4 linked regions of the Astyanax mexicanus genome follow. The protein of the gene in region 3 purifies or fractionates together with the protein of the main gene of each other region. This does not show direct contact. Links are inferred from orthologs where the notes say so. Each region holds a gene or a part of one and is shown on either strand. Other genes may lie near its edges.

Region 1 (6,977 bases), on a different chromosome or scaffold from region 3:
GAATTTGTAAAATAAAAATAAAGTATATTAAGGAAATGTATTAATTTTAACATAAATCACAGTCGCACCACATGACATTTTGTAAGGCCAAGGCCAATTCTAAATGAAAATACACTAAAATCACTCAATCTAAAATTTTAATATGAGTTGGTGTTCACAACATTTAAAATTTTGGAACAATTGCAACAGATATTACAGATATACTTATTGTTAGAATTTTAAAATTGGCATGTTGAAAATCCTTATACATCATTGACCCATATATAAATTTTTACAGACATTTTAATCTCATTTGAACCATAGTGCTAAGGCCTCACTTATAAAACTCTGTGTAAATTTTGAAGAGAATGTGTGCGCATGCACAAAAAACAGGAAATGGCATGTGTATGTATACCTGAGCGCTGTTTCCTCTTTGTAAATTATAAATGTGCGCAGGTGACCCAGTCTCATGTTCTGCCTCTATACCGCCCACATTTACCAATAAAAGGTCCATGCAAATCCTTCAATGAATATTTAAAGTGGGATTTCCCATTCATACTGAGTGGGACAATAGCAAGATTTTGGAGACTGTAAAGTAGAAGTCCTTGTGTCGGAGGTCGAGGTGGGGAAGAATGTGTTAATTGATGCTTTTAGCCAACATGTAGCTGCAGCAGTTAATAATGTAGCTCAACAAGCCAAACTATTAGAGAGGTTAGAAGAAAGTGTTCAGATACAAAAATGCTGCTTCACCTGCACATATTTTCCAATAGTTGTAAAAAAAACCTGTAAATGTACATTTATTCCATGATCCATTGGTCTCTATAAATCTGTGCCCAACTTAGCACACAGTTCCTCGAGAATGGCTCCTTGAAACCTAAATCGGCTCTTTAATCAGCAATCATCATTCACAAAAAAATCTATTTGTAGAGCTGTTATTTTTTTTGCAATTAGGTACAGCTGTTTATGCTCGTAATTATCTGCAACTGCAACCCAAAACATTTTTCTCTTTCTTTATTATGGATTATAATTTGTTATAATAATAATAAAATTGTGATAATAATAATTATAATAGTAATAATACATTTGAATACTGATACTTTAGATACATCTCCTTTGAATTTTAAAATTGTGAGATAAAACAAAACAGATAATACAAATAAAATTGAAATACATTACAGCGTGAAATACACAAGTTAGTGCAAAAAATAATACTTCATATAAAGCAGAATAAGATACAGCAAACATTGAAACATTATACATGCAGACAAAAATATATTTAAACAAATATGGGTTAATCCTGCTTAATCTTTCGTTCTTAGTCTTGATTTATGCGGTATGAACTTAGTATGCATGAGGGTAGTTTGCGCATTTACTTGCTATTTACTTACCACATGATGTCACTAATTCCCGCTCTCTTTGCAATCTTCTAAAGGAATACGGACGCCTTAAACCTTGCTGAAATGTACGCTCGTTTTCACGGCAAGTATTTCTTTATAAATCACAGCAAGCGTGAGATGTTGTGCACGCACATTTAATATCACGTGATGTATTATAAATGTATTAGAGATCAGGGGCCTCATGTACTAAAGGTGCGTACGCACAAAAACATTGCGTACGCCATATTTCACGCTCACGGTCTGATGTACTAAATTTGACTTGAACGTGTGAAAGTGCGTTCCCCCACGGAAGTTTTGTTTTGGGCGTACGCCTTTTTTTTGTGCGTATGTATTGTGTTTTTGTCATTTGGCGACACTTAGAGGCGATGCATTGAAATTACAACTATTAAGATATCCTTTATGCACACATTGAAGTAAGCATTATTGGGTAAAATAAAGTAAATTAATCAGACAGTTTCATTGTCTTACAGAAATAATCGTTTAACGTGTTTCCACTTAGCCTAGATCAGGTTTGCGCTGGAGTTGTTGGAGATGCAGCGTTGGCATTACTGGAAAATACTGCTAATGGCCGAATTCATTGAGCGCGCATTTTCCGTGATCATTATGTTTTTTTGGCCCATGATGATGACTGGCTTATAAGCAGTTTTAGATTTCCAAGAGCATAAGAAAACAAGCTGAGTACGTGACGTGTGTCTTTTTGGTAGGCAACTCATTTAAAGCATTTAAATGAAAGCATTTATCTTAGAATAATAAAACTTAAAACATGGGTAATTATACGCTATGCGTATATAATATTATTATTATTATTATTATTATTAATAATAATATTATTATTAATAATAATAATAATAATAATAATAATAATAATAATAATAATAATAATATAACATTATACTCTGCGTAATTGAGGGAGGAGTCGTGGCAAGTGTGCTGCTTTCGTGCATTTGCGCTTGATTTCAAGTTGATTGTGATGTACTAAGAGAAAGTACGTGGAATTCTGCCTACGCACGGTTTGATAAATCATTTATCAAACCGTGCGTAGGCAGAATCCCACGTACGCAAGTGTCGCAAGACGCGTAGCGTAATAACTAATAATTACCCATGTTTTAAATGTATCATTCTAGGATGGATAATAAATGCTTTCATTTAAATGAGTTGCTCACCAAGAAGCCACCCATCACGCACTCAGCTTGTTTTCTTATCCTCTTATGCTCTTGGAAATCTGAAACGGTTTATAAGTCAGAAATGGTCACGAAAAATGCGCTCTCAATGAATTCGGCCATTAGCAATATTTTCCAATAATGCCAACGCTGCCATCTCCAACAACTCCAGCGCAACATTTTATGCATGTTTATATAATCTAGGCTAAGTGGAAACACGTTAAACGATTATTTCAGTAAGTGAATGAAATTGTCTGATTTAATTTATTTTATTTTACCCAAATAATGCTTAATACAATGTGTGCATAAAGGATGTCTTAATAGTTGTAATTTCAGTGCATCGCCTCTAAGTGTCGCCAAATGACAAAAACACAATACATACGCACAAAAAAATATTATTTATTATTATTTAATTTATTTTGTCTATTATTTTTTTTAACCTTTAATTAATAATAATTGTGGTGTTCGTTTAGTCCTCTATTTCTTTAATTGTGTTTATATTATTTTATTATATTTTTTATGTATCTCTTTAGCCTCTCTGCATATCCTTTATTCTGAGTTTATTTTATTTCTTCTTAATTGAAACTTACATTGTTTTCTTGTTTTATAATTTAAACTTATTTTTCAGTCCCTTTAAATTTGTAAATGCTTGGCTGCATTAAAAATGAGGGTTAGCCTTAATGTATGACAGAGTGGAAAAAAATGTTGATTGATTGATTGATAGATGGAATACATGCCAGTGTGCAGTATGATATTAGAAATTCAATGGGCTGCCATCGGCTTTCACACGCTGTGTAAATATATAGTACAGAGCTATTTACTTTTTTGTTTTCTTAATGTTTACCCCCTCCGATTGTTCCCTACTTACAAAACTTGTCAACATTGTGTTTGTTTTATATTTTCTAGCACAAGTGTCACAAATGTGTGAATCAAACCCAACTATTTGTACATGATTCTGGATGATTTTCCATGATATTTAAAATAAAGGCAAATTATTATTTTGACAGCCACATCCGATTTCTGCACTAATTTATACATTATATGGTTAATAAAATACATGAAACAATATACAGAATATAAGACAAAAGAAAAAATATATATTGACATTATTTTCACTTAATTAATATGTTTAGTGTTTGGGCACATGACTAATTGGCAATTAAGGAATTAAAACATTAACGTTACTTTTACTTCTAATATACTTCTAAAAAGATTATTAACCATTTAACTCAAAACATTTGATTTAAGTATTAAGACTATTTTGTTACTTATTTATTTTATTTTAATTGCATAAGTGCAACTTATCCGGGCTTTACAATACTGGAAGGCACTCATTAGAAGGTGTGTCCACAAACATTTGGACATGTGTATTAATGGCATGCATAGGAGCTCGTTGTTTTCCGGCAGTTCTCGGCTCTTTCCGTGGCAGGCGAGTTTGAATCGGCGGTGTTCGGTGGCCGATAACGGTCAGTGCTGTTCAAATCTGACGCTGTTAGCATTTAGCTTCTCCCCGGCTAACATACAGAGACCGGAGCGGAGAGGGAGCGCGGAGGGGCAGTCCAGGAGGCCGGCCAAAGCGACGGAATGACGGTGTTGCAGGAACCTGTACAGGTATTCAGCCACAGATTTAGGCCGCTGTGTGTAACCCGGAGCGGCGGGGAGAGTTTCACCCATAAGCCAAACTCACAACTTTACTCGGGGTGATTTTGAGCTCCTGGCTTCGGCCTGTTCGGCGCTCTGCTCCTCAAACCGCAGGGCTGTTCTCTGTCTGACAGGATTCTAAACAAACGCACCCCTGAATCCTACAGGGTGGAACAGACGGGATATTACCGTGATTTAAACACCTGAAATGCAGAGTATTTTAACGCTAAACCTGCTGTTTTCGGTCTCTCTGGTGCTGGAAAGCGGGGCTAAAGTTAGCCTGTATGCTAGCGGGTTCGTTCTTTCCTCTTGGTTAGCTAACGTTAGCTTAGGTTAGCTGGCTAGTTACCCCTCAGAGCTCTCGGGTCTGCTGTCTGTATAATTATTGCTAAAGATTGTGTTTAAGTTATGAAGTTTACTGACGAGCGTCTGGCCGTTTACAAGTTGTCAGGATCGGCCGCTGCGTGCAGTGTTAGTAGCTAGGAGTATCCCATGTTAGCAAGGCGAGCTAGCCTGTTATTTAGCTAGCTAGTAATGTTACTGTGTTTAATCACCTAGCTCACAAATTACTCTTTACTGCTGGGATTTGTCATGCTCCTTTCTCGTATAGCTGTCATGTCACCTAAATAAACAAGAGCCACTGTATAGTTAATAATGCCGGGCTATCCGCAGAGCTGCTTACCTACTATAACAGTTCATATTGTCTTCATGTCTGTTACCTACCCAGTTAGTCCTCCAGCTGCTCAGTTTATTAGCTCAGCTTGCGTATGTGTCTTAACGTTTATTTTAAATGTTAGGTGAATGGTTTAAAACCAGCTACACCATATTAGATGAGCACATGCATTTAACATAACCTGGAGATACTTATTAGTCCGTTGCTATTTTTTTACGTGTTTCTAGTTAGCTAGTTGCACATCAGCTGAGACGTTGCGCTTCACTATCTCTGGCAGCCCCTTATTTGATTTTCTTTTCAGGGTATATGTAATTAAACTCTTTAATACCTCGGTCCCAGCTGCCACTTAGCAACTGGCACTACTTCATCTTACTGATATTGTGCCATTTTAGCTTGTTTTTTTACCACTGTCAAATAAATAAACATAATAAATAATTGTGGGCTGCATTTTAATATAAAATCCTGACACCTTTTTATCGACAAATTTCTTTGTTTAAAAAAAAAAAAATCAGTCTGTGTTGCTGCCAAGTCACAGTCTTGTTTATTTTGTTTATGCCTGTTAATCAATACCCCCAGCTGCCAGTTTGGCTTTTATGTGCACCTTAAAACAGAGCAAATATTACGTAAATATTTTAACCATACTTGTGCATCTAAAAAATAGACTATTATTGAAAAGTTACTTTATTCCAGTAATTTAGCTCACAATGTGAAACTCATATTACACAGATGCATTACTCAAAGTGCTCTATTTTAAGCGTTTATTTATTTTATTGTTGATGATTATGGCTTGCAGCCAAAATAAAATTTTAATGATAAGTCCTATTGGAAAATAAAATCCTCATATCCATAAAAGTTGTCAGCAGAGGGAAGCGAGCTGTAAGATTTTCTGGAAAAACACTGCACTGACTTTGGAATTGATATAACCTAATGGATCAACACCAGTAGATGACGTGACTCTCCAAACCATCACTGACTGTGAAAACTTTACACGAGACCTCAAGCAGCTTGCACTGTGTGCTCCTCCACTCTTCCTCCAGACTCTTGTCCATTGATTTCAAAATGAAATGCAAAATTTACGGATGGTCAGTGATGGTTTGGAGTGACTCTCTGGTCCAAATGTTTGTGTAAAAAGGTTAGTCTGGACCAACAAGGTGGATGTCAAAGCACTGATAGTCTCTGACCCTATTAGACCCTATCTCTAAACCTATAGTTTACTAGGTTAGATGTTCGCAAATGCTTGCTAGGTTGATGTTCTAGTCCACTGTCTTTGTAAATGTTATCTCTAATTTAAGAGACCTAGGTCTAGTAGATCTGGGACACTTAGAAACTAACGTTTGCCATGTCTTAAGCTGACACTATGCCATTCCGTCACCACTGGGATTTCAGTAAAACTAACATTGATTTGGCGTGCAGTTTGGTTTCATATAATCCACAACCTCTTGCTTTGACCTTTTGTAATATATTTATGTCTGCTGTGTTGTTTGTCTATAGGCTGCTGTCTGGCACGCTTTAAACCACTATGCCTACAGAGATGCTGTATTTCTGGCAGAGAGGCTCTATGCTGAAGGTAGGGTTCAAAATCTTTTCAATGATGACACATAATCAGTAGTACTAAACATTAATTTCCATTATGTCCTGTAGATCATACACCAGTGTTACTGTCTTGTTAATCTTTTGCTTAAAAAAAGAAAAAAAAATAACATGGAAATATATAATATAATCTGTATAGCCAAGATTGGAGTAGTTTTGTTTGTATCAAGCATCTCCTAGAGCGTGACTCAATTGCGATAACATTGTTGAAATTAGCTATAACGTACATTCTCCTGTTTTTCTCCTAATTTAGCTTGGCCAATTGTTCCACTACTCAGCTATATATCCCACATCACAAGTGATTCCAAAACACAAATAGGGTGAAGACTAGCAGACATCTCCAACACGTGAAGTCATCCATCGCCTCTTTTCTAACTGCTGCTAATGTAGCATTGCCGGTGGTCGACTACACATGTGTTTGAGGAGGCGTGTGCTAGCTACATGACCGGGATTCAAACCAGCAATCTCCCAATCATAGTGGCAGCGCTTTAGACCGCTGGAACACTTGGCGACCCTAAAGGGAATATAATCTAAAAT
Region 2 (7,758 bases), on a different chromosome or scaffold from region 3:
TTATTGTTTTCTTAAACCAATGCACAAAATCATTTGAAGCGCCTTTCGTTTTAAGAGTGTGGTTATTAATATGTGTCAGTAAGCAGATAAAGACTGAATAGAAGTGACTAAACCTATGTTTACATCATCATCGAATAACTGGGATATTCTAAAGTAATGTAATCAGAACAGTATCTGGTATAAATCTGTTTGTCTCAAGTGTAGAATCAATGTTATAATGTTTACAGGTCAAACATACCTGCATAGTCTGAAATACAGTACTGTAATTAATTATATAAATGATAATGAAATGTGATTAAAAGCATGATGTGACTTCTGATTCCCTGTCTTGTATTTAAAACCTGATAAATCAGAATAGATTAAGATATGAAAAAGCCTGATAGATCAGAACAGATTATGTGTACTTTTAAGTTTTATAAAAAAAAAAAATAAAAAAAAGCAGATGACATTTTAGAAAATAGAGGGAGATTTTATTGATCTCTAACAAATAAGAGAATGCTTGCAAAAATAAGCAAGGAAACAACTTTGCCTGGTTAGTCCTTAAAATGCAGTGGTTATGACTTTGATCCTCTTCTCAGCCCATAGCAAAACAGGTTACTTTAAAGTCATAATGGCACTGTTGCACACTTTACACAGTCCTCCGCTCAAAACTGAAGGTTTCCAAATAATGATGGTAGAGTGTTTGGCTTTGGGTGAGGTTTGTATCCGATTCGCTCGTGGATCATCTGCTCTCTGGTCTTGCCCTCAGCACCTCCTGAAGCACCGCTCATCTCACTTGATGTTGGAACTCCAACCACATCCACTTCATCTCGCTGTTTCTTCCGACTCTAAAAACGATAAAAAATAAAAAAATAAATAATGTAAAGTGACTTTACAGTATCTGAGACAGACATTTATCACAAATCATTTTAGCTTAAAATGCCACAAGTCCTACCAACATTTTAGTTGTGTTATATATCCAGACATATCCTATAAATCCAGACATTCTGACTAGTCATATCAGGTCAACAAATCCAAGTGTAATTTTGACTAGTCATGTGTTTCTATTGATTTACATAAAATTTCATTGTCAGAATTTCAACATTATCCGATTAGCCCTTTAGGCAATGTTAAATAAATGTTTATTTAATGATTGTTTTTGCTATCAGGGATTTTCAGAATGGTTTATGCCAAATTTTATAGTAGTTATCTCAGCTGATATTTTTAATATTATTATATATATCCAGATCATATCATATATATGTAAATATTTTAGGGCTAAAACATTGATTTAACGTAAATGACGCCAACAATTTCATAACCTGCAGTTTTGACAGTTTGTTCTAGAAACCAGGCCAGAACTAGTGATATGGAATGTAAAAAACTTTAAAGCATTTTTATTCTTAAACTGTTAAAACAGAGCTGTAGAAGCAAAAAAAAACTTTTAGAATGTGTTACTTTTATGTCCAGCATTAGGCCAATGGACGAACACATATTTATACCCTCTCAGGATGAAAAGAAAAATGGGTAGGTTCAGACAAAATGTGCTATCTTCTGAAGTGTGTATCAGATTCATATATAATAATAATATAAAGTTTTTTTCCAAACCAGCAATTTCAAATAGTTAGGTTAGGTTAGGTCTCCTTCCTCTAAAATCCACTTTTTCTAGTTTTTGGTGAAATACAATAGGTCTCTCTGAGTTGTATATGCATGCTGCACAAGAAACTCTTCCTCAACCTCCATCTGTAGTAGCTAATAAAAGAAAATATTCAGAAAAACGAGTCGATCAGGAAAAGCACCCATGTCTACATCAATCTCGTCAGATAGGACGTAACAGAGCTAGAAACAGCATTGCAGTTTGTTCCTGTGTTATTTGTGCAAATATCACATCAGTGTTATATGCTTTGCCCAGTAATTCAGAGCTAAGGAACAAATGGTTAGAATTTGTCTATGGAACATTACCAGCAAAGTACAATTGAGATAGGTAGGTGTATTTTTATAACAGTTCTGTTTACACTTGCTTCAACTTCCTCTCTGCTGCGGGGTGGATTGTTACTTTCTGGACCTGGACTACCCACCTCTGTTTGTTTACGTAGGTTTACATAGGCTCTCTGGTGGGTCAGTGGCTGAACTGCACTTAGCACGGCATTATACATGTTGTAAAGTAACATATGACATTGCAAAGACTGTTATTAGAGTAAAAATGTTTTTATTTTAAAACGTTTCTAACTGTTGTCCGCCTCCTGGTCTCGCAGTGCTGTTAGCCAATTAAAGGCGATATGTTTGCATGTATGAATATTCATAAAATCCTATCGTTTCTCCGTTCAGCGCCTCCACAGGACTAAAGCATGGTTATAACAGATCACCGGAGCACTTTTTTTCTCAAAACCAGCTCACGTGGCATTCATTCATACTATAGGCCACAACCAGACATTTTACAATTTATTAAAAAACGATGGAATGAGACCTTTAATTAATTAATAGAGTTGATTAACTGACCTCAAGCTCCTTCTTCACTCCTTCAAACTCCTCGGTATCGTCCAGCTTCAGCTCCAGTCGTGTTGGTTTTCGGCGAAGCATGATTTTAGGAGGCTGGGTAGCTAATACTGCAGTTAACAGCTATGTATAGAACTGAAATACACTGTTTATCGATATTTCACAGCTGTTTCCGCTGTAAAACCACGGTTCAGCACAGCGCTGGTTATAAGCTGTCACCGAGACAGCAGAAAAAACGTCATTTTCAACAAAATATTATGGAGAAATGACTTTTTAAAGAGCTAAGTTAAAGCTAGCTTAATATAGTAAACAGGTCCAGTATGATAATGCTGCTGTGTTTCTAACAGCACGTTATTTACCCATAAAGGCGTTTACTACTGGATCTATAGCTGTTATATAGCTAGCGTTAGCAGTGTCGAGAACAGCCCCGACTTAATATCGAATTTAGAGTATAAATATCGATATATACATTTAACGCCAAGCAAGCAAGTTGGCGGTTGTTGCCTTGTCTGCCGGAAGTTGGTAACTACTCTAGCTAAGGGTTTCTGGGAAATGTAGTTCCGTTTTGTATTTTTTTTTCCATAAAGGCTAGAATATAATAACATTACATTAACATTTTTATTTTCCTTTTAACATTTTTATTTTCCTACTATTATTATTATTATTATTATTATTATTATTATTATTATTATTATTATTATTAATAATAATATTATTATATAATGCAAAATAATGCAAAGATGTTCATAATAATAAAGTTTTAAGAGTTTAGAAATAAAAAGTTTTTAATCACAGTTTTCATGCATTTTGGCATAATAAAAGACCACTTAAAAAGCCATCAAACCAAGCTGAACGGCTTGCAATTTAGCACCAGCAGTGACATAAAGTTATCCAAAATCAGTGTGTAAGACTGGTGAAGAAGAACATGCCAAGATTTTTTTTTATATAATATTTATTTAAATTATTTAAATTTTATTTATTAAAATTATAAGATTTTCGGGGTTTTCCATCCGCTATTGATTTCTAAACTTAAAACCTTATAAACTTGTTTTCTTTGCCATATTTGAGATCTGAAAGCTGAAAACATATTTATAAAATCCCCGCTTCAGTCCTCCAGATCCAGTCTCCGGTAGGTAGATGTCGCTGCGGCGAGCAGCGCTGCTTTTCTCCGTTCAAAGCTGTGACGAGTTCCTGCGCGCCGCTCAGATCGTGGTGGTTGTGTCGGAGTGGGCAGTGTGGGACTATGAACCACAACTTTACTTCAGATTCTGATTTAAATAAGCTGTAAAAAGCCTCTTCGTTTCCTGGACGCTGTGTAGTTTCAGTAGAAGGGCTCGTAAACTCAAAAACAGCTGGATTAAAGTGTTTTCTCGGGCAGGTTGGTGCTGATTTGGTCTTGAATTGTCTGCACTGGTGCCTTTTTAGTAACGTTACTGTAGCTGTAGCGCCTGTGTTCGTTTGAGTTGTGCTATCTTGTAAAAACGTGCTACTCTAGGGTTTATTTAAAGGTAAAAATACAAAAAGCACCATGTTAGAACATGCAGCCGGCAGTGTAGGTAAAGTAGTTATTGTGGTAGCCTAAATCACTGTATCAAGGAAGATTCAAGACAATAAAATTTTAGTTGTTAATTATTATTATTATTATTATTGTTATTGTTATTATTATTATTATTATAGTGAGCGAGCTTAGGTTGTTTATCCAATATATAAAAAAAAACATTTATTTTGTAAAACATTGCACATATAAACATAAACACCTGATGGACATTAGACTTCATTTTCATATTCATTCTTTGTGCATTGCCAATTTGTTTAGTCCCTGTAAGATAGGGCATTTATTTATCTAAAATACTTTATTCTGTTAAGATTATTCATATTCTCTATAACTATTTTGATAATTATTAAATATATTACTACTGTATAGTTATTTATAATACTTATTTATTGTTTAATGTGATTGGGTGCTCCAATACGTTATAAAGAGTATTTAACTCTGTTAATAAAGCTGCTTATATAGAACAGCTGGTAAGACAAGTAGTCGACAAGTCTAGGTAGGATATGTGGATAGATGTTTGGATCACTGTAAATATATAGGATAATGACATAGTTTTTTCATAATTTATATTAAAATCTCAATTAACACTTAAACAATAAGAGTGAGTTTAGATTGTATAACACCAATGGAAAACAGAATTATCATGAAACACAATAAAAATGGAAAAAGTGAATCAGCGCAAGCGCAGAGCTGCTAGTTAGTGAATATTGATGGTTGGCATAAAATAGAACATTCATTCTTATGGAGCCCCTGTAAGTTAAACCCAGTTTAAACCTTTTAAAACCTTTTTTCTTTCAAACAGGTGGTGCTGAACTCAGTTGAGCCCCTTGAAAGATGTCTGATGAAGATGAAGCCCCTCTGGTAAAAAGGTCTCGGATCTTCTATGGAAGTCTTGAAGAAAAGGAGAGGGAGCGTCTTGGCCGTGAGGGATCCTCAGGCTCTGGGAAAGATGCTATTAAAGCTGGAATTGAGGCTGGAAATATTAACATCTCCAGTGGTAAGACCTTGCAGAGCTGCTTGAAAATATTTATTTAAATGTAACTCATTAACTCACTATAATGTTTTAAGATGGAGACACTGTGGTAAAATGTTTTATAGTTTAAAAGGTATGAGATTCATAAAGAATACACAAGAGCAACAACATCCAGTGGATTTTTATCATCAATTAGAGCAAGTAATAGAGAGAGAAACCAATACCACAGATATTCAACCAAACATTATTTCAGATTACCAAAAGCTAAAACTAACTACATGTGCAAAACAGTAATTTATAGAGCTATTAAAGAGTGGAATTATTTACCAGAATCATTAACTAAAACTGATAGCAAAACACAGTTTAAAAAACGAGTGAACAAAACATTATCTAACTAATATTAAAGACAGTAAATCCTAACTATTAAATTGAACAGTGGAGGAAGTTGTGCAAGGGAAAATCAGGATTGAATAGAGGTGATGAGGTGTCTAGGACACACTAGATTATTATTTCTTTGTTTGTTAGTTTTCTGTGTAACTATTTTGTGTAGTTAATATTCACTTTTTATGTATATATATATGGAAATGTGAACATTCTTTTGTACGTGTGTGTGTGTGTGTAAAACAAATAAAACACTAGAAAATCTTCTGCCCAGCAAACTAGGGCTGGACCCGAATATTCGGGTATTCGGATATTCGTTCGTTGAGTAGGTATTCGGTTTTTAATTTTGGTATTCGGATATTCGTTTTTTTCCTCCTTTCCAGAGTTCCACCTCACTCTAACCACTTCTGTTCTCGCGGGTCCCGTCAGAATATCTTGCGCGCGGGACAGAACTGAACTGTTATTGGCTGGAGCGGGAGTTTAATCCAGACGATGCGGGAGCAAATTAATAAATAAAGTAAATTTTAAGCATTAAATGTAGTTTATTTAATTTATATTAGGAACGTGGGGCGGGAGCGGCAGAAATGTGTATGTGGCGGGCGGGCGCGGGATTAAAAGAAGCAATTTTTTTGCGGAGCGGTAACGAGACAGAAACGCGGGAGCGTGGAAGAGTGGGTTTAAAAATCAGTCTCGCACAGACCTCTATTATACATGATAAAAAAAAATGCAGGCTCTTCGAAACTGATTTATATAATAAAACGTAAGGGGTAATGTGGCAACAGTAGGGGCTAAATCGGTTACAAAAGCCTGGCCTACAAAAATGATGTCTGAACGAATTTCCTCTTATCTAATATAATTTAAAATGGTTTAAAAATATAAAATAATTTCTAAGCAAACGAAATATTTAATATTGAGCTTATAGCCCAAGTGCAAAAATACAAAATCAGTAATATGCCCTGCACAATGCTTAAACCGAAATAGACCAAGTACAATAACGTCATTAACAATGACTTTCCTCTACTCTAATATAATTTAACATGGTTTAAAAATATAAAATAATTTCTAAACAAACGAAATATTTAATATTGAGCTTATAGCCCAAGTGCAAAAATACAAAATCAGTAATATGCCCTGCACAATCCTTTAACCGAAATAGACCAAGTACAGTTTACAATGACTGTCCTCTAATATAATTAACAATGTTTAAGAATATAAAATACTTCCTGAACAAACGTTTTTTTTGTTTGTTTTTTTAAGCAAATAGCCTAAGTGTGAAAACACAAACAGCAATTTACTGGGCTGGCTTGCGCAGCGGAGAAACCGTGCAGCAGCAGCCTCCTAGCCTGCTTACGCAGCGGATAAGCCGCGGTGTGGGGCAGCAGAAATTCCGGGATGAAAACACAAAGAAATCTGGGCTAAAAACACAGAAAAAATATGGGGTGAAAACACAAAAATCCGGGATAAAAACACCAAAAATCCGGGGTGAATATGTCTCGTCAGTCAGAGCAAATTGAACATTTTTCAGTGGATTAAAGGGGCCGTGATTTGCTTTTTTTATTTTTATTTTTTTTACCTCTTTTTTTAAAAACGAATATTCGAATATTCGCTTCGAATCAGTGCCGAATATCCGGAGCTCAAAAAACGCTATTCGGGCCAGCCCTACAGCAAACACACAGTGCTGTCTGCTTTCTTACAGTGTTGCTATAACGCAGTCAGAAGGTCTTTCTGGTTTTCTGGTTTTGTTCAAAAACTTCATTATTAAGTAATGTTGCCATATGATATTAAAATGACATGTTGGCAACTTAGGTAAAATTCTATGGAATTTCATTCACAAATATGTCCTGTTAGGTTTAAATTATATTTGTCTGGTTTCCTATGATAGTTCTTTTTTACCTAAGGAAAATAATCAGTTGGTGTTGCTTAGATATGATAATATCTAAATATATACTAACATGTATATATTTGAGAAATATGTCAAATGGTATATGAAGTCAGTAATGCTTTTCCAGTTTTCTGTCTGTTTATTCATTCTCATCTTATTTCCAATAAGTGCAATTTGTGGGTTTATTTTCCAGGTGAGTCATTGGAGATCGAGGATCGTGTGAATGAGAGGCAGGCGGAGGTCTTGGCTGAATTTGAGCGCAGAAAAAGAGCCCGGCAGATTACAGTCTCTACTGATGATGCTGAAGTCAAAGCTTGCCTGCGTGCTCTGGGAGAACCGATTACACTGTTTGGCGAGGGCCCTGCTGAGAGACGAGAGAGGTGAGTTCACAGTGCATCAATACTACTATCAATCATTACAATTGAGTCTAGTTTGCCTGTGCACTGGCTGTCTCTTTAATTTAATTCTCCATCTAATTAGTTAATCAAATGT
Region 3 (7,722 bases):
GGGTCCTGCGGCAGGATGCTGTGCAGGCCCCGTACCACACGGTGAAACAGCTGGTCAGTATGCTCTCGATGGCCCCTCTGTAGAAGGGGGTCATGATGGGGGTGGGGGCTCCAGCTCTTCTCAGCTTGCGGAGAAAGTAGAGACGCTGATTTGCCTTCCTGGCCAGTGACGCTGAGTTGGTGCTCCAGGAGAGGTCCTCAAAGATTGTTGTGTTTGCACCAGGAGGCCAGGCGGCTCACCTCGATCCTGTAGTGTGACTCATCGTTGTTGCTGATGAGACCCAACACCGTCGTGTCATCCGCAAACTTGACAGAGGTTGGAGGTGTGTGCTGGTGTGCAATCGTGGGTCAGCAGAGTGAACAGAAGGGGGCTCAGCACACATCCTTGGGGAGCCCCTGTGTTCAGTGTGGTGATGCTGGATGTGCTGCTGCCAACCCGCACTGCCTGTGGTCTTCCAGTCAGGAAGTCTAACAGCCAGCTGCACAGTGAAGTGCTCAGCCCCAGACTGTCCAGTTTGTCTATGAGCTGTTGGGGGACGATTGTGTTGAATGCTGAGCTGAAGTCAACAAACAGCATTCTGACGTAGGTGTTCTTCTTGTCTAGGTGTGTGAGGGCAGTGAACAGTGGAGATGGCATCATTGGTCGAGCGATTTGACCGATAAGCAAACTGGTAGGGGTCCAGGGAGGGGGGGAGCAAAGACTTGATGTGATGCATGACTAGTCGTTCGAAGCACTTCATGAGGATGGGGGTGAGTGCAACTGGACGAAAGTCATTGAAACATGATGGCGATGCCTTCTTTGGGAACGGGATGATGGTGGTGGCTTTGAAGCATGTGGGAACCACCGCCTGACTCAGAGAGGTGTTATAAATGTCAGTATAAACCTCTGCGAGTTCCCAGGCACAGTCTCTCAGCACACGGCCAGGAATGTTGTCAGGCCCAGGAGCTTTCCGAGCATTGATCCTGCTGAATGCTCTCCTCACACTGTCTGGGGACAGCGTCAGCACCTGGTCACCAGGAGGAAGGATGGATTTCTGGGCGGGTGTGTTGTTGAGTGGCTCGAACCTTGCGAAGAACCCATTCAGGTCGTTCAGCAGAGATGTGTCGCTGTCGCAGGTCTGTGGATGTGGTTTATAGCCTGTGATAGACTGGATACCCTGCCACAGGTTCTGTGTGTCTCTGCTGTCACTGAAGTGTTGGGAAATCTTCTTTGAGTACAAAGGTGTAAGGTATTAGGTGTAAAAAACGCTATATAAATAGATTTTCCTAATAAAATTTCCTCCAACAGTCCAGAGTTAAAAGTGGATTGATAAGTGTGATGAGCAAAGTAGAAGAAAACAGAGATAAATGTAGAAGCTGAGAAGTAAAAAAAAGCAAAGAAACAAAGCTAGCATCAAGGCAAGACAGAGCAGACCAGAGTGGCAGAGCACAGAAACTCCACCCAGAAAGGGAGTTGAACCCAAGACCCCAACACTGGGAGTAAAACATTTTAAACACTAAGCCACTATGCCACACTAATCTCTGACCGTTTCTCAATCTGCATTCTTGTCTGTGCTTGTGTTCTTTTCTTGTGGACTCGTGAAATGTCATCAGTCGCAGCCCAAGTACTGTTCCAATTAAAAGATCGCAGTTAGCCAAGTACACAACAAATACTCGGATGTGTTCTTGCTCCTACCACTCTATCTAGGATGCATGGAAGGTGACTTGTTAGCACTTCTCACAGCCCGATATCCCAGAATGCACCTCGCAGGAGTATCAGCGTATTGGCGGAGGAGAAGGTACATAACTGAAAGCACCTCTACGTTTTTAAAATAGTACTGCTGTGTGCTAAATAATGTTTTAAGTTATTTTTAGGTGAGAATGTAGGGGTTTAGATTTGTATGTAGATATGTAGTTTATTTATTAAGAAAGCTGCGAGGTGAAAATTTGCTCCTACATTTTTGGAACAACGCTTTCCGCTCCTCTAAGGGTTGACGTCATCAAGTACACAGCTGTTCCAATTACACAACAACCGTCCTGCTTCCTCCTGTCCTCGAAAGTACGCACTTGCGAGTTGATCTTCCAAAGTCTGTACTTGCCAAGTACGGGAGTCCAGACTTGTGTACTTGTGCATTGAGAAACTGCTTCTGCCTACCGAGGGCTGAGACACTCGATCTGACTGGTGGTCAGCCACTTGCTAGACTTACATTGGATTTTTCATCAGGCACATCAAACATAAAGTACAAAATACGTAATAATAAGAGACCTGATAAAAATAAACAAGGTCAGATTTAATTGACAGAACATTTCCGCACCCTGAGTCATCATGCTGTTCACTGCTGCCCTGCTGTTTCTGGACTGGGAGAACCAAAACGGATTTTTACTTAAACTGAGGAATCGTGACTCTTCTTCGTCCCCTCAGACACCTGCTATATCACTCAGTGACGCAGACTGATCTGAGCACAACCAAATCATACTCTCTCTCTCTTTTTCACACACACATGCATGAATAACACCCTGTATTGCAATTAAAGAACATGTTATATACTAAATTGCTTTAGAGATCAATTTGCAGCTGTCTCAAAGCCCACTGACACTCATTAAGTATCACTCAAGGGCTAAACTGTGACTTACTAACCATAAATCCTGTGCTGGTCCACAGGGTTATTCATGGTTTTTCTGACCTGTTGTAGATCAACCTCTTCTGTGGTTGCTGTTAAAACAAGGTAACTGATTACATAGTAATACTGTGTGTGAGCCTGAAGGAACAACAGTGCAGAGTTGAGATGTGGCTCTTCGGAAAGGCCATTCTAAAAGCTTAATATTAAAGTCTGATTAATTCTCTCCACAACCACTTTTCATGTGTGTTTGGGATAATAGTATTGTTGAAACATCCAATTGTATCCTGTTTCCACCAGTCTAGCTGATAATCTAAGGTTATTCAGAAGAACCTGGAGGTAGTCCTCTTTCTTCAAAATTCCATACACTTTTAAATTAGCAGCACAGCTGTCCCAAAGAAAGGTGCCACATCACCATGCTTATTCTACTTATTCAAACCCATTTCCTTTTACCTGAGGGGGATAAACAGCTTTTTTGAGACCCAGACAAAGTGGCCAGCTGTTAGCATTGCAGCTAACTCACGCCAGCCTGGTTGCTAGGTAGGTGTATTTATATTTTTTACTTTTAATCTTGTGTTGATTAGAAAACTCACATAATTCAAACATGTGCACCAAAGTATGTTTTTATTATTAAAGATATTGTACACGTATTGTGTGCCAGAGCAATAACAGTTGCAAGTATTCCTTAAAAATGCTCACCATTGCTGTGACATCCATGTTCAGTGATTGTACCAGTCAAAAGTTTTGGTACACATTTGTATTTAATGTTTTTATTTTTTTCTTAGGTCATCCAGATAAAGGAACACATAAATAATCATGTAGTAAACTTGTAGAAAAAAAACAAAATACTCTGCTATCTGATGGTTATTCTTGGTCTTCCTTTTCTTGAGCGATCCTAATGATAGCCAGTTTCATTAAGCTGTTAAGTGAAAGCCATTCCAGGTGACTACCTCAAAAAGCTACCCAGCTGACATTTCAACATTGAATCCATGTTGATGTTGAATCATGGTGTTGATATGGTGTTGATTTTGCAAAGTGAATCAATGTTGATATGGCAACGTTGTTTCAACGTCATATGTTCAACCTTAGATAAACCATAGCTCACATTCGGGATGCTCAAAGTTGTATGAAAGGGAAAAAAACTGTATGCCATGATGAAAAATTAACAATTTTATTTTTATTCTCCCTCTCTCTGGATATACATCTATGAGAAGTAGCAATTACTACAAGTAGCTAAAACTAGAAAATCATATTGTTAACAGTGTTCACAATAAACTTACATCACTGTGCTAAAGCTGGGTATAAAAGAATGTTTACCAATCTGATTCAACATTTAATCTCAAAAACACAACAGTAAAACAAATAGAACATGAACATACCTCCAAATACGGTGAATAATTGGTGGCAAATTAAAAAGCAATTACTGCAAATGTAAGTAAAAACACTTTTTCATCCCTATATTTAACCATTTTTTAAAACTGTATGCTGATTAAATGAAAAATGTTAATTGAAAAGGCAGAAGGTTGAGGACATTATGTTAAGTCAACGTTAAAAATTCAACATTTGCACTACCATTTAACGTCTGTTGAAGCAACAACAGACATTTCTTCCACCATATTTCAACCTCAGTGCCAGCTAGGTCACTGAGAAAATGCCAAGATGTGCAAAGCTGTCATCTAAGCAAAAGGTTCTAGTTTGCAAGATCTAAAATACAAAACATATTCTGGTTTGTTTGACATTTCATTGTTTACTAGATAATTCCAGATGTTTTACTTCATAGTTTTAGTGACTTTACTATAAATCTACAATGCAGAACATTTTAAAATACAGAAAAAAACACTGAATTTAATGCGTGTCCAAACTTTTGGGTGGTAACGTTACTGTACCTGTTGAGGAGATATTGATCAGTTAGTTAGCTATCACCGGTTGTGTGAAGAAGAGAAAAGTAACAGGAGTAGAATGTGTTTCTGGTCGCTGTGTGGATCTGTAGATATATAAATCATGTGTTTAGGAATATCTGATTTATATAATATGCGCTATCACCGTGAGGCTCGTGTTGAGATCAGCGGGACTGCGGCGGACGCTGTGATTGGCCGCACTCGCAGCGCGAGTATCACGGGAAAGCAAGATGTCCGCGTGCGTTTGAAAATGTGTGTTTACTGGTTTGCTGCAGTTTAGCGGTGGTTTTAGACAGTTTGCGCCCTGTGCTTCACTCTCCGCGCGCTGCAACGGCGGGAGACCCGGCTGGAGAAGAGGAGGGAGCTCAGAGAGAGGAGCCGGACTGTTGTTTATTAGCGGGCTTGCTGAAGAAAATGGTTTGGTAGCTCCGCTGCTAATGCTAGCTTAGCTTAGCTTAGCCTAGCCCAACTTAGCCTAGCCCGCTGCCGCTGTGAGGCCGGGCGCGTAGAGCCGCTGAGGTCCGCCGCTGCTGTTTTAATGTCTGTGGGAGAAATAATGCTGATACTGGGAACTCATGTCGAACGTGTATGAAGAGAGAGCCGCAATGATAGCCGCCGGGGAACTGCAGCCGTTTGTCCCGTTCGGTCGTGAGCACTGCAAGAACCACCCGAACGCCGTGAACCTCCAGCTGCGCCAGCTGCAGCCCGCCTCAGAGCTCTGGTCCTCGGATGGAGCGGCCGGACTCGTGGGGTCCCTCCAGGAGGTCAGCCTCCAGGAGCGCCAGAAGGTACACTACAGTAGGCTGTACACTAAAGTACAGTACACAACACTGCGCTGGAGTACACTGTGTTACACTAAAGTATAGTACACAACACTGCGCTGGAGTACACTACATTACAATAAAGTACAGTACACAACACTGCGCTGGAGTACACTGTGTTACGCTAAAGTACAGTACACAACACTACATTGGAGTACACTATATTACACTAAAGTACAGTACACAACACTGCGCTGGAGTAGACTACATTACACTAAAGTATAGTACACAACACTGCGCTGGAGTACACTGTGTTTCACTAAAGTACAGTACACAACACTGCGCTGGAGTACACTACATTACACTAAAGTATAGTACACAACACTGCGCTGGAGTACACTGTGTTACACTAAAGTACAGTACACAACACTGCGCTGGAGTACACTACATTACACTAAAGTACAGTACACAACACTGCTGGAGTACACTACATTACACTAAAGTACAGTACACAACACTGCGCTGGAGTACACTACATTACACTGAAGTACAGTACACAACACTGTGCTGGAGTACACTACATTACACTGAAGTACAGTACACAACACTGTGCTGGAGTACACTATATTACACTAAAGTACAGTACACAACACTGCACTGGAGTACACTATATTACACTAAAGTACAGTACACAACACTGCACTGGAGTACACTACATTACACTAAAGTATAGTACACAACACTGTGCTGGAGTACACTACATTACACTAAAGTACAGTACACAACACTGTGCTGAAATACACTGCATTACACTAAAGGACAGTACGCTACCTTACATTACACTAAAGAACAGTACACCACTGCACCACAGACAACTTTAATACTCTAAGCACACTACATTACACATATTGCTTAACGACACTGCACTACAGTACAGTGCACTTTACTACACTACAGTACTACAGTACAGTAAACTATGCAGATTGCCTAACTACAGTAGACTACAGTACACTGCACTACACTACAGAGTACACTACATTACAGAGCAGCATGCAGGTTGTTTAACTACACTACAGTAGACAAAGTACACTGCACTAGACTACAGTACAGTACGCTACAGTAAAGTACTCAATATGCTTGAGTGGACTACGTTACATTAATGACAGAATTGTATACAGTATACATGAGGGGAATTTAGAACCGGTATGCATTTTTCACATGCCGCCATGCCGCTAGAGGCGCTGCAGGGTGCTGTGTAGAACAGTGCCGGCAAAAAAGCACCCTAGCAGAGCTCGCTAGCTAGGGCTAACCATTTAGCATAACAAGCTAACACCGCTCAGTGAGGTCGCACACTGTCCTGACTGGAGCTTCTGCTGTTGCTGATTACAATATGAGTAACTTAAGCCCTGTTTAAATATATTAATACTGTAACTTGAAGGATAAAAATGCACAGTGAACTGAAAGTAGAAGTAAAATTGTGATAAACTAATAAGCAGCTGCTTAAATACTTTAATGCCTCTAATGGCTTTTATATAATAATATAGTTTTATTTGATATTAAACTTGTGTATAACTATATATTATAATATATATATATATATATATATATTATTATTATTATTATTATTATATATTATAACTATATATAATAATAATATAAAAACGTGATATATTGTAAAACCATCAAAATCTTGCAAAATACTTTGATGTGCATTTTAGCAGGGGTGAAATTTGGACAGTATCCATTGTTTTAAAATTTTCTTTACTTTTCAGGAATCTTGGCAGCTTAGGAAGGGTTCCACCATCACAACTGATGAAGCTGAATATGAAGAGGAGCTGTACGTGGCAGGACATATGGTTATCTGGAGTCGGGGGAGCAAGAGTCAAGCATCCAATGTGTATAAAGCTTTTACAGTGGACAGTCTAGTGCAGCAGGTATTGCCAATATTCATAGACTTTTTTGAGTAATTTCCCTTATAATAAGAGCAATAAATAGCAAGAATAATACAAGAACAATAGTAATAATAATAAGCATCTTTCTTAATTAAAACAATATTTGCAAAGATTACAGAGAAGAAGAAATAAAATCAAATTGAAATAGCTAGCAGCTAATAAACTGTTATTAGCAGTTAAGATATAAAATTGCTATATAGTCATGCTTTAAATACAGTGGTATGAAAAAGTTTGGGCACCCCTGATACTTTTCATTATATTCATTAGCAATTTCAGTTAAATATGTCATATAGCAGATAAACACAGTGAAATTTGAAAGGTGAAATGAAGGATTTGCAGAAAGTGTGCAATATATATATATATATATATATATATATATACACACGTGTATGTATATATATATATATATATATATATACGTATATATATATATATATATATATATATATATATATATATATATATATATATATATATATATACACCCACGTGTGTATATATATATATATATATAT
Region 4 (6,921 bases), on a different chromosome or scaffold from region 3:
GAGAGAGACAGCAGCCCTGCAAACACAGAGACAAGCACAGAGACGCACAGAGAGAGACAAACAGAGAGAGACGCACATAGAGACACAAAGAAAGACGAACAGATTAACAGAGTCACACAGAAAGATGCAAATAATGAGAGACAAACAGAGAGACGCACAGAGACAAACAGAGAGACGCACAGAGACAAACAGAGTGAAGCATAGAGACAAACAGAGAGACGCATAGAGACAAACAGAGAGACGCACAGAGACAAACAGAGAGACACACAGAGAAAAACAGAGTGAAGCATAGAGACAAACAGAGAGATGCACAGAGACAAACAGAAAGACGCACAGAGACAAACAGAGAGACGCACAGAGACAAACAGAGAGACGCACAGAGACAAACAGAAAGACGCAAATAATGACGAACAGAGAGACGAACAGAGAGACAAACAGAAGCACAGAGACAGGAACACAGAGAGAAGCAAAGGAAGATGAAGAGAGAGACGAAAAGAGAGAGACAAACAGAGAGACGCAAAGAGAGACACAAATAAAGATGAACAGAGAGACAAAGAAAGAAGCAGAGAGAGAAGCACAGAGACGCAAACTTTTCTTAGTAACATTTCTCAAAATCAATCCATTTTTTTGGCTTAAATTTGTATAAATTAGTGTTAATATTTTATTAGCAATATTACTCACCAATAATGGCATCGAGAGCGAGAGGACACTGACGCAGAACCTCCTTGTAGCTCGTAACAGCTGAGCGCTCCTGACCCGCCTTCCGGTACAGATTCGCCAGCATCATGTTAATCTGTTGGGATCAGATTAAATATACAAATAGAAATCACTCTCACAAAAAAACAACCAATCAGAGATCAATAGAAAGAGAAGACACCTTGGGGGTTCTCTGCCTGGAGGGAATCCCATCCAGCACGGAGATAGCGTCTTTATCCAGCTTCAGAATGGTGTAGCACTCCGCTATCTTATACTTCACCTCAATCTCTGAGGGCAAATTCTGTAAAATATTAATAAACACATTAAATACTTAAAGATTTAATTTCACTAGAAAGCACGTAGTAATTGATCTTTTTTAAAATACAGTAGGTCACTGAGTTAAACATGAAACTGTTCTTCTACTCTTATTGTCTGCATTAACCGATTAAAAAAAAACAAACAAATAGAAAAACAAGTGAATTGGGAAAAGCCCCCGGACTGACATCAACCTGTAACTAAGGATTCATGGCCTTGTTAGCCAATCAGAGGCAAGGCATTTGCATGGAATGAATATACTCATAAATAAAAGCTGAAAATGCTACCTTTCTTCCTCGCCCACTCCTCCACTGAACTAAAACAGCCTGAAACAGGAGCACCGGAGTACTTTTTTTTTTTTTTTTTTTTTTTACAAAAAATAATGGACACACTTTGTCAGTTCTATATTTTCATTTTTAGGTGTATATCATAATCTATAAAATATTTTTTTTCCATTAAAGCCTCCTTTTTTTAACTGTACTTTTCTTTTTTTTATTTTTTTTTTATATTCTTACATCAGGTTCATTTTCACTTTTCATAGAGATCAACTTTATTCAAATGAGCAATAGCGGCCACATTGGATCTAACCAATCAGGCAAGAGTAGACGGGTACATCACACACATACAAGCATCAGACATTTAGTTTGGTGGCCTTTTGGTATAGAATTTTGAAACCAAAAATGTCCTTTTCCTTAATTTTATCAGATACTCAATATAAAAAAGTCTCAGTATGTTAAATAAAGCAGTGTATCATTACATCACTACGGGAGCTGAGGTCTGACCTGAGTCTGTACGGAGGACGAGCCGCCGCTGCTGGACGGTCTCACTTTAGAGGCTTTGCTCAGCACTTTCTTCTGCTGCAGGGCCATGTTGTATTTGCAGGCTGCGTTTCTGTACTCCTTATCATGGAAGATGGAATCAGCGTGATACACCAGCAGCTGATACTTCTGAGCCGGAGAAAAGAGCTCCCTGTAGGAACAAGAACATTACATTTTATTATATTACATTTACAGATATTTACATCTAGATCTGATACAGTTCAGAAAACAGAACCGTGTTCTGATACCTGAATATCTACATTCAGTTTCAAACACAAAACAGAGATTGTCTATATGGGTGAAAAACTACCAACTATGAAGCTGAGAGAAGATGAAGAAACACAAATTAAGAACCATCACACAAATATCAGACATAGTCAGAACAACAGTTTAAAATGTCCTGAAGAAGAAAGTCGTCACTGGTGTACTACATAACAGGTGATGAACAGGTAGATTAGTATTCGGGTATCTGGTTATTTAGGTATGTATTTAGTTAGTTATTTAGGTTGAGGTGAGGTAACACCCATGGGTTATGTAGTTAGTTAGTTAGTTAGTTATGTAGTTAGTTATTTAGTTTAAGGTAAGTTCAGACTTTCGGGTTGTTGGAGCTCATGGTCAGCAGATATTTAGGTATTTAATTTAGTTATTTAAGTATTTAGTTATTTATTGAGGTATTTGGTAATTTGTACTCACGGGATGTTGGAGCTCATGGTCAGCAGCAGGTTAGTTAGTTAGTTAGTTAGTTATATACTTAGTTATGTAGGTATTTATGTATTTAGTTATTGAGTTATTTTGTAATTTAGATAGATATTTGGGTATTTGTACTCACGGGTTGTTGGCGCTCATGGTCAGCAGCAGGTTAGTTATTTATTTAGTATAGTTAGTTAATTAGTTATTTATTTAGTTAGTTAGTTAGTTAGATTAAGGTGATATTAATATTATTTAGGTATTTGGGTATTTGTACTCACGGGTTGTTGGAGCTCATGGTCAGCAGAAGGCTGCTCAGGATCCGGACATTAGAGTAAAGGCCGGCGGCCGCCATGTCCCGAACATAATCAATAACACTCATCTTCAGCTGATTAACTGATAAAACTGATAAAACTGATCAGAAATAATCAGAGTTTAATCCGCAGCGCTGAGAAACACAACGCAGATCAAAAGCGACAATTTCAAAATGGAAGGGAAGTGTTGCGCAGTTACATTTCAAAATAAAAGTCCCCACAGTCTGGTAGCCCAGTGTTTAATATAACTTACATTATTTATTTACATGTAGCTCATAGCTTATTGCACGTGTTTATAATATTATTATTAATAATAATAATAATAATAATAATAATAATAATAATAATGATACATTGAGACCCCTTCACTTCCGTTTCTGAATCAGTAAAAATATTGTAATTTAGAGCATTTATTTGCGGACATAAAAAAAATAATGCAAAGAAAACAAGTTCATATTCATAAAGTTTTAAGAGTTCAGAAATCAATATTTGGTGGAATAACCGTGGTGGTTTTTAATCAGTTTTTAAATCATACATCTTGGCATCATGTTCTCCTCCACCAGTCTTACACACTGCTTTTGGATAACTTTATGCTGCTTTACTCCTGGTGTAAAAATTCAAGCAGTTCAGTTTGGTGGTTTGATGGTTTGTGATCATCCATCTTCCTCTTGATTTTATTCCAGAGGTTTTTAATTTGGTAAAATCAAAGAAACTCATCATTTATAAGTGCTCTCTTATATTTTCCAGAGCTGTGTATGTGTGTACTCACCTCCAGCCGGCAGTATAAACTCTGTTTACTCCTTCTTTTCAGCCATGCTTTCATTTATATAATTTTTAAAAAGGATACAATATGAATATGTGAGGTCAAATATTTCAAATATTTGCAGAAAAATATTTTTTTTTTATCGAAACTTATTACATGTATAATACATTACATTTATGGCATTTAGCTGATGCTCTTATCTAGAGCGACTTAAGCCCTATCTGGACGGAATTAGTTTCTCAGGAGGTTCTGGGTAATTTAGCCTAAAAACTCACTGATCCTCCTGTTTTTTCAATTGCAGTACAGGTGCAGGAGTTTTGAAATATTTTTCACAGACGTCCCCCTGAGAAACTAATCCCATCCGGATAGAGCTTAACAAGGTTAATTCTATTACGGATTTGGGCCAATAAGAGTCCTTGGGCAAGACTCCCATTAGTGTAGCGCAGCATTCAGTTACCCAAACCTGGAATTGAACCCGAGTCTTCCACATGGTAGCTCATTGGCAGGTGGTGGTGTTATCCACTACACCACACACACACTAACTTAAATGAACACTTTTTTATTTTTACTTTCACTTGCCCCCTCCAGTTCCTAAAGTCATCATTACTTCTTAATTCCACATGGTGGAGCTATAATCAAATGAATAGGGTTAATAATCCTGTGTGAAGAATACTGGTTGTGAAATTCTGTGAAACTGAAACACCAAAAAATCCATAATTCCCGGTATTTACTTATTTTTAGGAGTATTTTTTCCTATTCAGTAACACAGATGCTGTGAAGTATCATAGAGAATTGTATTGCAATGTACTGAGTATCGCAGAAACACAGTATTGTGAAATCATTGTTATTGTGGACAATGTATTATTATTGTGATATCATATAGTCAGACATATGGTGGTGATCATCCATCAAATTAGAACGTCTTCCCGAGACAGTTAGTCCAGCAAAAGCAGTATAAACTAAATTTTAATACCCTCGATTCAGGTAAAAACAATAAAACAAACAGGTGTCCCAACAATTTTAAACATATAGTGCATCAGTTGCATTGATTATTTACTGGGACCTTGAACTACACAGCATTTGAATGAATTTTTTCCATTAACCAGAAAAATATAAAGCTCTGTAAAAAATGAAGAGATCACATCAGTTTCTGAATCAGTTTCTCTGATTTTACTATTTATAGGTTTATGTTTGAGTAAAATGAACATTGTTTTTTTGTATGCATCTTGGCATCATGTTCTCCTTCTTCTCCTCCACCAGTCTTACACACTGCTTCAAGCAGTTCAGTTTGGTGGTTTGGTGGTTTGTGATCATCCATCTTCCTCTTGATTATATTCCAGAGGTTTTCAATTTGGTAAAATCAAAGAAACTCATCATTTTTAAGTGCTCTCTTATTTTTATTTTATTTTTTACAAAGCTGTATATAGTTCAGGACTAAGCCTAAGCCCTGTTTGAAAGGAAACCAGCACTGTAACATCATTTCTAGTAACAAATTAGTCTCCTGCCATTGTACCGATTCTTTTATTCATTTAGTTTCAGACTCAGACCTTACTTAGGTCATTTTTATTTATTTGTTGTAACCACTATTTAATCCCAGCACTTTCATACCGTTTAGAGAAAGGGAGAATAAATCTCTCCGAAAGTGTCCTTAATATAAAATCCGTATAAAAAACACCACCACAATAAACAAAAGGAGAAGACTTATATTATATAAAAATAAAGAACACAAATCACGCCACCAGTTCAACAGCTTTAGGCACTTGGTATCAGGTTGTGTGTGAGCTCTGTTGTAGTTAAATAACAAAAAATGGACTTCAGAAGTGTAACATACATATACAACATATACAGCTCTGGAAAAAATGAAGAGAGCACTTAAAATGATGAGTTTCTTTGATTTTACTAAATTAAAAACCTCTGGAATATAATCAAGAGGAAGATGGATGATCACAAACCATCAAACCACCAAACTGAACTGCTTGAATTTTTACACCAGGAGTAAAGCAGCATAAAGTTATCCAAAAGCAGTGTGTAAGACTGGTGGAGGAGAACATGATGCCAAGATGCATTAAAAAAAACTGATTCAGAAACTAAAGTGGTCTCTTCATTTTTTCCAGAGCTTTATAAAACAGTCAATCATATGAATGTGTTTCTACAGTACATTTGCTATGATGGATATTTAATGGCATTAAACTACACACTTTACATCAGAGGACCGACTCAAAAACACAATCTTTTTCCTGAAAAAAGCAATTTTAATAAATACGGTTGGAAGACTTGGTTGGAGGTGTGTTTCATCAATGGGTCATTCATACACACAACATTGAACAGGAAGAATGACAAGAGAAAGAGGACAAAACCAGCAAACCAGCGTAATCCAGGTAAACCAGTCCAGGTAACTGGTGTTATCTCAGCAACAGGGGCAACAGAAATCTCCATGATAAGGAAAAGGCCCTGGTTAAAATCCCAGGAAAGTGCTAAACTGGTTGAAATGATCGAAAGCATTTGGTTCATAATAATAATAATAATAGTACTATTATTAATAATAATAACAATAAGTAACAACCACTGCCTGCAGATACCAAGACCTAGTGCCAAATGCTGAAAGCTGTGAAAACAGCGACTGTAAATAAACAAACACTCATAAAAACACTCCTTCTAAACTTCTAAAGTTCTTAGTAAACAGTCGTCCATGTGCATTGTTTTCCACGTATTGTTCCATGTATAAAAAACTCCACGTTTATTGTTCAAACTTCTTGTTTTTGACGTCTTCACAATTCAAAGCCATTTATTTCCACAGAAACTGATGTCACTGTGTCACAGGCAGGGGGCGCTCTAGAGACAGTGTGTCCACAGAGCCTGAGAAAAGAGTCATAACAGCATGTCCAGATGAAGAAGTCTTATCGCATCGAGTTCCTCATTAAAACGTCCAACATAAATCTTGTTAACAGAGGAGGTTCTCGACCCAGAGGAGGAAGATCTCGACCCGGAGGCAGAGGAGGTTCTCGACCCAGAGGAGGAGGAGGTTCTCGACCCAGAGGAGGAGGAGGTTCTCGACCCAGAGGAGGAGGAGGTTCTCGACCCAGAGGAGGAGGAGGAGGTTCTCGACCCAGAGGAGGAGGAGGAGGTTCTCGACCCAGAGGAGGAGGAGGTTCTCGACCCGGAGGAGGAGGAGGTTCTCGACCCAGAGGAGGAGGAGGATCTCGACCCAGAGGAGGAGGAGGATCTCGACCCAAAGGAGGAGGAGGACCTCGACGCAGAAGAGGAGGTCTCCACCCAGATGAGGGTCTCCACCCAGATGAGGGTCTCCACCCAGATGAGGGTCTTGAAC

Evidence for each region.
Region 1: the proteins of anapc1 (region 3) and cdc27 purify together in Homo sapiens (affinity purification with mass spectrometry; 16 studies listed by BioGRID and IntAct, with this or other methods). This does not show direct contact. The link is inferred for Astyanax mexicanus from reciprocal best matches to the Homo sapiens genes ANAPC1 and CDC27.
Region 2: the proteins of anapc1 (region 3) and cdc26 purify together in Homo sapiens (co-immunoprecipitation; 6 studies listed by BioGRID and IntAct, with this or other methods). This does not show direct contact. The link is inferred for Astyanax mexicanus from reciprocal best matches to the Homo sapiens genes ANAPC1 and CDC26.
Region 4: the proteins of anapc1 (region 3) and anapc7 fractionate together in Homo sapiens (co-fractionation; 6 studies listed by BioGRID and IntAct, with this or other methods). This does not show direct contact. The link is inferred for Astyanax mexicanus from reciprocal best matches to the Homo sapiens genes ANAPC1 and ANAPC7.

The regions. Positions count from the first base shown.
Region 1 is NC_064410.1:15,205,324-15,212,300, reverse strand, and holds the start of cdc27 (cell division cycle protein 27 homolog), read left to right. Parts: upstream 1-3,964; 5' UTR 3,965-4,120; coding exon 4,121-4,147; intron 4,148-6,341; coding exon 6,342-6,417; intron 6,418-6,977. UniProt on the Homo sapiens protein: Component of the anaphase promoting complex/cyclosome (APC/C), a cell cycle-regulated E3 ubiquitin ligase that controls progression through mitosis and the G1 phase of the cell cycle.
Region 2 is NC_064408.1:18,604,776-18,612,533, forward strand, and holds cdc26 (anaphase-promoting complex subunit CDC26), read right to left. Parts: upstream 3,013-7,758; 5' UTR 2,560-3,012; coding exon 2,479-2,559; intron 828-2,478; coding exon 645-827; 3' UTR 449-644; downstream 1-448. Other genes in the region: prpf4 (U4/U6 small nuclear ribonucleoprotein Prp4), read left to right, coding at 4,865-5,027, 7,460-7,646. UniProt on the Homo sapiens protein: Component of the anaphase promoting complex/cyclosome (APC/C), a cell cycle-regulated E3 ubiquitin ligase that controls progression through mitosis and the G1 phase of the cell cycle.
Region 3 is NC_064414.1:12,395,355-12,403,076, forward strand, and holds the start of anapc1 (anaphase-promoting complex subunit 1), read left to right. Parts: upstream 1-4,698; 5' UTR 4,699-5,069; coding exon 5,070-5,282; intron 5,283-7,027; coding exon 7,028-7,189; intron 7,190-7,722. UniProt on the Homo sapiens protein: Component of the anaphase promoting complex/cyclosome (APC/C), a cell cycle-regulated E3 ubiquitin ligase that controls progression through mitosis and the G1 phase of the cell cycle.
Region 4 is NC_064419.1:1,302,008-1,308,928, forward strand, and holds the start of anapc7 (anaphase-promoting complex subunit 7), read right to left. Parts: upstream 3,017-6,921; 5' UTR 2,899-3,016; coding exon 2,798-2,898; intron 1,981-2,797; coding exon 1,794-1,980; intron 998-1,793; coding exon 878-997; intron 794-877; coding exon 682-793; intron 17-681; coding exon 1-16. Other genes in the region: proline-rich protein HaeIII subfamily 1-like, read right to left, coding at 6,491-6,663, 6,766-6,921. UniProt on the Homo sapiens protein: Component of the anaphase promoting complex/cyclosome (APC/C), a cell cycle-regulated E3 ubiquitin ligase that controls progression through mitosis and the G1 phase of the cell cycle.